Canis lupus familiaris: one gene and its partner. The protein of the gene in region 1 interacts with the protein of each later gene in a biochemical or structural test. Links are inferred from orthologs where the notes say so. Each region holds a gene or a part of one and is shown in the gene's direction. Other genes may lie near its edges.

Region 1 (3,814 bases):
TGTATTTTATTGAAATACAAATTGAAAGAACATAAAAGACCTATTTAATACCTGTTCCTGAGGGAGAGCATTCTTCCCAACACCCCAGCATAATCTTGGTTTTTTTGTGTAGTTGAAGTGTGGTTGACATACATGTTGCATTAGTTTCAGGTGCACTGTAGTGATCACACAGCTGTGTGTTGTTTGTGCTGTGCTCACTGCAAGAGTAGCTCCCATCTGTCACCGTAGGATGCTAGTGCAGGACCATAGACTCGTTCCCTGTGCCCTCTTTGATCCTTGTGACCTAGTCCTTCCATAGCTGGAAGCCTTAATTTGTGGAGTGTGACAAGCTATAAGCTTGTTTTAAAATTTATATGGAAGGGAAAATGCACAAATTTTGGAGAGAAGGGCAGGAACACAAACAGGTTTGTTCTAATATCAAACCATACTATGAAGCTACAATAATTAAACCAGTCTAGTAACAGTAACTGTAGAGAAAACAAATGCACACATATTTTGGAGATTTAGTATGTCCTAAAGGTGGAGTTACCAATTAGTGAGTTGAAGGATGCACTGTCAGTAAATAATGCAGAGAAAAGTGGCTGTCAGTTGGATAAATTATGATTTTGCTAACATAAATGGCAAAATGAAGAGTACAGCTGTCTCCCACTATCTGAACAGTTATCCGGACATATCCTCCAGTTAGATGTGTTGGACTTAAGTGATATTTTTTATTCTCATTAATCTGAATGCTGAAAGTGTGCCTGGTCTAAGATACAGTCCAAAAGCCATCAAAGAAAAGATGGGTATGTTTGCTTTATATCAAAATTTAATATAACATGTCCATTTGATGAATACATTTATATGAAAAAAGCCTAATGATTCTGTTTTCTAATGAATTACTGGGCTGGAGAGTGGGAAGAAATGCTTTCTGTGACTCCTTTTCTTACAGATTTTTGTTTCCCCCTTCGTTTCTGTCTCTCAGATCCAGGTGCAGTGAAGTCTGTGTTCAGCTTCTTGAACAGCAGTGCTTCCACTTCGAGCGCACCAGCAACATCAGCCCCCGGGGGCATATTTGGTAGCTCCACCTCCTCCTCCAGCGCGCCTGTGGCTGCCTTCGTGTTTGGACAGGCCAGCAATCCTGTGAGCAGCTCTGCCTTTGGGAACTCTGCCGAATCCAGCGCATCTCAGCCTTTGCTGTTCTCTCAAGAGAGCAAACCAGCAACCACGTCCAGCACAGGCCCAGCTGTCACACCATTTGTCTTTGGTCCTGGAGCCAGCAGTAATAGCACCGCCACCTCTGGCTTCAGTTTTGGAGCTACAACCACCTCCAGCTCTGCAGGTACTTTGACAGAAGAACAACATACGTGTTGTAGTTGGACTGGCTTGAATTATATCCTCTCTTAGCAAATAGCGTAGCAGGTTTTCACAGAATGGCCTGGGTGCCGTTAGGTCCTCTTTACTCAGGATGTTGTAACTGTTCACTGCATGGAATCCTGTATAGTTTGTATTCGGTTTAATAGAATTAAGTCTTGGGAAGAATTTTTCTAGTCTCAATAAGAATGTCATGTTGGTTTTTTCCACTGTTCTTTTTGAAATGTTATGTTGTTAAGTAACCAGAAACTGGGGGACCGTTCCGTTAGACAAAAGTCCTCATTCTGTAGTATATACAGGATGACAACGTTAGTTGGTTTCTGCTCTTTATTAGATATCTGATGAGTTATCGCCTGTTGTCTTAGATGGGCCCTCTACCTAAAAAAAAGTTTGGCTGTGGATGTGGGTTTGTTAATAGGTAGATGATTTTGTGTATGTGCATTCTGTCTGTATGGTTTCACTAAATAATGGCAAGAACTGTATTCTTAATTATTTATTGAAAACTTGCCTTGATGGGATTTGTACAGGTAGGTAAGTGTATGAAAAGAAGCTTGAAGTTTGCCGCTGAAGGTATAGATGTTTCTTGAGAATTATCTCCTAGTAGCTATTAAGGTGACATCAGTGTTTCTCTGGGCCTCTAGGATCCTCCTTTGTATTTGGCACTGGACCTTCAGCACCATCTGCCAGTCCAGCATTTGGTGTTAACCAAACCCCGACATTTGGACAAAGTCAAGGTGCCAGCCAGCCTAATCCCCCAGGCTTTGGAGCTCTGTCCTCTTCAGCAGCGTTGTTTTCTGCTGGTTCTCAGCCTGCACCACCTACTTTTGGGACCGTGTCCAGCAGCAGCCAGCCTTCTGTGTTTGGACAACAGCCCGGTCAGTCTGCATTTGGCTCTGCAACAGCTCCGAGTTCCGGTGAGTGTGTGCTGGTCACATGGCTTGTGTCTGTACTTAGGATCTGTGTGTCTTAAATAGGATGGTTTTTGAATTTTGAAACCAGGCTTATGTCTTTTTTCTTTAAATGTCTCTTGTACTTGGCGAAATAGAAAAATAGATGTTTGGACATTGCTGTAAACAACATTCTCAACTTTTATATAATGAAGCACACTATAAGGTATTAAAGCATGTGATTTGGCATGCCTGGGGGCTCAGTTGATTGTATTCTTTAGGCTCAGGTCATGATCCCAGAGTGTTGGGATCAAGCCTCACACTGGGCTCCCTGCTCAGCTGGGAGCCTGTTTCTCCTTCTCCCGCTCTCCCTGCTTGTGCTCTCTTTCTGTCAAATAAATTAAAAAAATACATTCTTTAAAAATGTAGTTATTTCTTACTCTTTGATTTCTTACTCTTTGTAGTTATTTCTTACTCTTTGATTTACATTCTTTAAAAATGTAGTTATTTCTTACTCTTTGAAATTTTTATTATTCAAGTATTGATGACACACCATGTTGTATTAGTTTCAACAGCATTGATCAGTCCTGTTTCTCCCCATCTGATTTTTGGAGCATTCCAGCCTAGTTTTAGCCATATTTTCTAATCCAACACTCCACTGTGATTGGATTTACTTCAGAAGGTTATACCTCCACTCCAGTTTTCTCCTGGGACAGAATAGCCCAAGCACCCAGGATGCTTTCTGTTTGATGATACTTGCATATTTAAACAAACATTCCTCTGTGGTTTTTTTTGTTTTGTTGTTTTTTGTTTTTAATATGGCTGCTCACATTGTACTATGATGATATAGTTCCTCAGAATTGCACGATGTTAATTTTTCTAACTGAAATATGACTTCATGTAGAAAAGCATGAAACATAAAGGAACAGTGTGGTGTTGAAGCAGATGCTTGGATGGCCAGCAGCCCCTCCTGGGTCCCTGTGTGATCACACACCTCTCTCTCCTTGCTCTCATGTGTCCTGGCTTTTATAGTGATCACTTTCCTGGGGTTTTAATTTAAAATTAACTGCTGATACATGAATCTCTACAAAATACCATATTGTCTTATTTTTAATTCTATATAAATGGAATCTCACTGTATTAAGTCTCTTGATTTCTTGCATCTTTCACTCTTAACTTGTAAAGTTGATCCATGTTATTACATATAGTTTGTTCTCCTTCACTGTGTTAGTCAATCTGTTTATGAACATATCACAATTTATCCATATACTGTTCACGAATGTGTTTGAGTTGTTTTTACCTTTTAGGAAATGTACCTCTGCTCATTCTTGGGTATGTGTCTTGGGGCATATTTTTCTAGGGTATATACACCCAAGAGAGGGACTGCCAGATTAAAAGGTGTGCATGCATATCCAATACTGCAGAAAATAACGCAAGCTTGTCCTGACGGATTGTACCCATTTACATCCTACTGCGTTGTATGAGGATTCTCAGATTTGGATTCTGCTGGATTTCATTTTTTGTGAATTGTTTCTATAAGGATTTTTTGAGCCATTTTTTTGGGTTCAGTTTTG
Region 2 (4,282 bases), on another chromosome or scaffold:
TTATGAATAAATGAATAAAATCTTAAAAAAAAAAAAGCCTGTGGTCTTTCTAACCCTGTTCTCAAACTTTTGTTTTGGAGAATGAAAGAAAGGGGCCAACATCCACAATTTAGGATTTGCTTCCAGAGTGGTGATAGCCACCGGTGGGTAGCTGGTAGTTCTGGAGCTCTGGGCGGTGACTTGCACCAGAATTCCAGAACACTTTACTCAGCAAAGGACGAGGCTGTCAATGGGGAGTGCCTGGGTTAAAGTTCGAGCAAACCTGGAAGTCTGGCCTCAACTCAATCGTAGGTAAGGGTCAAGTTTGCAGTCAGGGATGGGTTTGTGGGGCTTGAAAAGAAGGATTCCACGACTGTTTGGAAGAGGGGACCCGAATTTCTAGTCACTATGCAGGGTGGGACTTTTTCTCTTGTTGATAATTAACCAGAAGTGTGACCTCTAGGTAACAGAGAGAGAACTAATGGGCACTCCCTGCCAGCCCAGGGGAGGACTCTCCTGAGGTCTCCGCGCAGCCTTAAATTCCGTCCTTCCCTACTCCTCCCCAAGGTGTGGTTTTCCTTTCTCTGGCGCCTACCGCACTTTGCACACAATTATCCTGTAATTTGTAATCACGTCTCTTCCAGGGGACTCACCTCAAGGGCCACGCCACTAGTTAGCCTGATGATTTTTGGCAAATCACTTAATCGTTCTATGCTTGATTTCCTCGTTTATTAAAAATGGGCACAAGACTCCTCCCCATCGCCTGGGGGTGCTGGGATAAATGAAGGTGACCACGCCTGCGGAAAAACTAGACGTAAGGTGCATGCAAACTAAAGGGCGGTCAGCAGGGTAAATACTTGTTCATGGACCTGACCTACCTTTATTCCGTGCCCTCAACAGACGCTTACTGAGCACCTCCTCGGTTGCAGGCCTCGGGAGCGCTCCCCCCGGGTGCGGAAGCCTCACGTGCGGCGCGTGGGCCTTGTCCCGCGGGCGGACTCGCGATTGGCTCCGCCGAAGAGAAAACCCCGCCCACAGTCTTTGCGAGCTCGTTAGCGATTGGACCGGCGTCTCCGGCACGCATTCCGGTTGCTAGGTTCGGGAGGAGCGGGGGCGAGGGTGGGGCTGCGCGTGCGCAGACTGAGGACGAAGATGCTTTCCGGTCGGGCGGGAGGAGGTGACGTCAGGCGTGGTGGCAGGCGGGGATGGGGGGGGGCGTCCTGTAGCCCTCAGGACGTTTTATCTGTGGGCCCTCCGATCGCGTCACAAGTGGGCGACTGAGCCTTGGCGGTGGTGGCCGAGGCGGCGAAGGCGGCAGCGGCGGCGACAGCTCTGGGGTTTGCGTCTCGGGGTGTGTCGGCCGCCGCTGCTGCTTGGGCCTGGTATGTACAAATGGCTGGTTAGGATTCTCGGCACCATTTTCCGTCTCTGTGACCGGCCGGTGCCCCCTGCCCGGGCCCTCCTGAAGAGGCGGCGCTCGAACAGGTGAGAGGAGAGGGGGCCGAGCGCCAGGCTGGCTGTACCCCCTCCCCCACCCGGGGCTCGGCCCGGAGAGCGCCGATCCAGCCCCGCAGGCCCTGCCCGGCCGAATCAGCTGGCGGGGCCCAGGCGGTGGAGGTGCGAGTCGCGGGTGCCCTGGTGACGTAGTCGCTCCCTCCACGCTGTGCGGATGCGCTCCTGGTGATGGACCGAGCTGGTTGTCTTTGGAGTGGCCCGTGATGGTCAGGATCTTTGACGTTCTTGGGAGAGGCCAAGCTGGTTGCTGTCCAGTGGGGCTTTATCGTATCCTGTTAAGGTTGAAAACTCAAAATTGAACGAATACTGTCCGTGCTGTGGTTCACTGTTTACGAAGCACACTCCCGAGTGTCATCTGTAGGCAATAAGTGCAGCTGCGGCAAGTGAGATTCATAGCTTGCCCAAAGCCGTTTTGACTGCAAGAATTGTTCTTTTAGCACCGAGAAACAGCAGCTGTTTTGTTCCGAAACAGCTGTCAAGCTGTGTGTGTGTGTGTACGTGTTTTGCGGGGGAGGGAGGGAGGATGGCACTACGTTGGAGTGTATGAGGGGGAAAAATTAGGAGTCTCGTTCTTTTAAAAAGATCACTAGTTGTAAAATCCAGCCAAAATCTTGGGGGAACCTAAAAGCTGTTCTTGTTTAGCATCAACCCCTTGGCTTGTCTCATTTCGTGGCGTGTACTCCTTTGCTTGAGAATTAATCTAGAGAATAAAACACCATACCAGTTCTACACACCCCACCATTAACTTTTACTGATCAAGTGTTAGTTTCATTTAAAAAAAGAAATGAAGCCTCAAGATTGTTGAAGACTGGTTTCTTGGAGCTTGAGAGAACAAGATGATTGAATACATGAGTCTGAGAATGCAGGTCATTGATGAAATTGGCTGTTGGCTGAGTTTCATCATGTGTTCTAGAGAGCCCAAGGTTTCAACCTGTTCTTTTCTACCTTTTTGTGAGGTTGACAATGGGGGTCATTTGACAACATGTTGTATAGTGCCTAAAATGATGCTTAATATATATAAGGGTAGTATTTGTTTATTCTACCCCAGGGGCCTTGTGCTAAGGCTGGTGCATGATAGGCACTTGGTACGTATTTATTGAATGGGAGAGTGTTAATTCTCTCTCCCCTGTCCTTTCTTTTTGCTGTGAATCCCTGCTTTCAAATAGATGAAACAATGATTTGGAGATCAAAACTCTGTTCTTTACCACACATCCTTAGTCAAACCAGTTTTTCACAATGTAAGCCTTTTTTTTTTTTTTTTTTTTCTGGTCAAAATGAAGGCAGGAGATCTTACTGGGATGTTTACAGTTATGAACTGAATGGTATTCCCCTGGGATTTATTTTGTTCCTTTTTTTTTTTTTGAAACTGATCAATCATAATCATCTTTAAATAGGTCCAGAAACTTTCCCAAATTCCCCAGCTTTTTATTACCAGTGTAATGTAGTTTCCATGATAGAAATGCAGTTAAATAGAAGACCTTTTTGGGCTTAGAATTCTCTTTTAAGGCTTCTTATGTTGTCATCTTTCAAAAGGAATTTTTTTTAAAGATTTTATTTATTTATTCATGAGAGAGACAGAGAGAGAGGCAGAGACACAGGCAGAGGGAGAAGCAGGCTCCATGCAGGGAGCCCGATGTGGGACTCGATCCGGGGACTCCAGGATCACGCCCTGGGCCGAAGGCAGGTGTAAACTGCTGAGCCACCCGGGCTGCCCCAAGGAAATTGTTATTTTAAAATCACTTCTGGAGAGAAAAAGGAAATACTAGTCCTAGGCTCTTACCTATGTTCATTTACTACCCAGGTGATTTCTGGCCAGTTGCAAATTTGTACTTTAGCCAGATTACAGATTATCACTTAATAGGGAGTTTTGGGTCTCTTTCAAATAGTTTAAACAATAACGTTAAGTCCTCAAATAGTAGAGGCCTACTATAGAGGAGTGTTTTCTAACATGATTTGAATTTCTTTTTTTGACAAAGTGAAGAGAGAGGATGTGTTATATGCATACTAGATTTACTTATAGAAATGTATGTATGTATATATAAATATATATATATATATTTTTTCTTCTTCTCTTTTCAGCACTTTGTTTTCTACAGTGGACACTGATGAAATACCAGCCAAAAGACCAAGATTAGGTATTGAATATGATAATTTTAAAAATCAGATTTTTTTTAAGTGGGAAAAGTGTATGTATGGAACAAAATTCCAAAGGTAAAAAGTATGTACAGTGAACAGTTAAGTCTCTTTCCTGTCCTTTTCTACTCAGTTATCTTTTCTAGAGGTAAACACTGTTAACAGGGACTTGAGTATCTTTCCAGATAAATAAAGGTGTATGTTGAATATGTATTTAAAATTTTTCAATCTTCCTATACGGAAAAGGTGCTTTTTATTTTTGAGGAGAAAACATTGTATAAAGCTACTTCAAACTGAGTCATCTAGTTCACATAGCTGAGGGAATGAGTCTAATGTGTTGCCCCAAATCATTTACTTCTCTGTATCCAGAGGGCTAGATGTAGCTTGATAAAAGAGAACAAAACTAGATTAAAGGAGAAAGGCACAATGGAGTGCTATAATAGTAGTTCCTTTGTTTCAAGAATGAATGTGAATTTCGATCTACCTTCGGAGTAGACATGTCTGTTAAGATTTCATTTCATTTAAATCCAAGGAGTACTTATTGAGCATGTCTTACTGCTAAGCAATATGTTAGATTCTACAGGAAAAAGAAAAATGAATAAGATAGGGTCTCTATTTTTAAGGACCTTACAATTGTATAGGTATATGCCTGTAT

The links.
Region 2: the proteins of NUP153 (region 1) and SENP2 form a complex in vitro, tested with the Homo sapiens proteins (2 studies listed by BioGRID). The link is inferred for Canis lupus familiaris from reciprocal best matches to the Homo sapiens genes NUP153 and SENP2.

What each region holds. Positions count from the first base shown.
Region 1 is NC_049256.1:17,831,501-17,835,314, reverse strand, and holds part of NUP153 (nuclear pore complex protein Nup153), read left to right. Parts: intron 1-964; coding exon 965-1,321; intron 1,322-1,994; coding exon 1,995-2,267; intron 2,268-3,814. UniProt on the Homo sapiens protein: Component of the nuclear pore complex (NPC), a complex required for the trafficking across the nuclear envelope. Functions as a scaffolding element in the nuclear phase of the NPC essential for normal nucleocytoplasmic transport of proteins and mRNAs.
Region 2 is NC_049255.1:18,494,991-18,499,272, forward strand, and holds the start of SENP2 (sentrin-specific protease 2), read left to right. Parts: upstream 1-1,175; 5' UTR 1,176-1,363; coding exon 1,364-1,464; intron 1,465-3,573; coding exon 3,574-3,629; intron 3,630-4,282. UniProt on the Homo sapiens protein: Protease that catalyzes two essential functions in the SUMO pathway.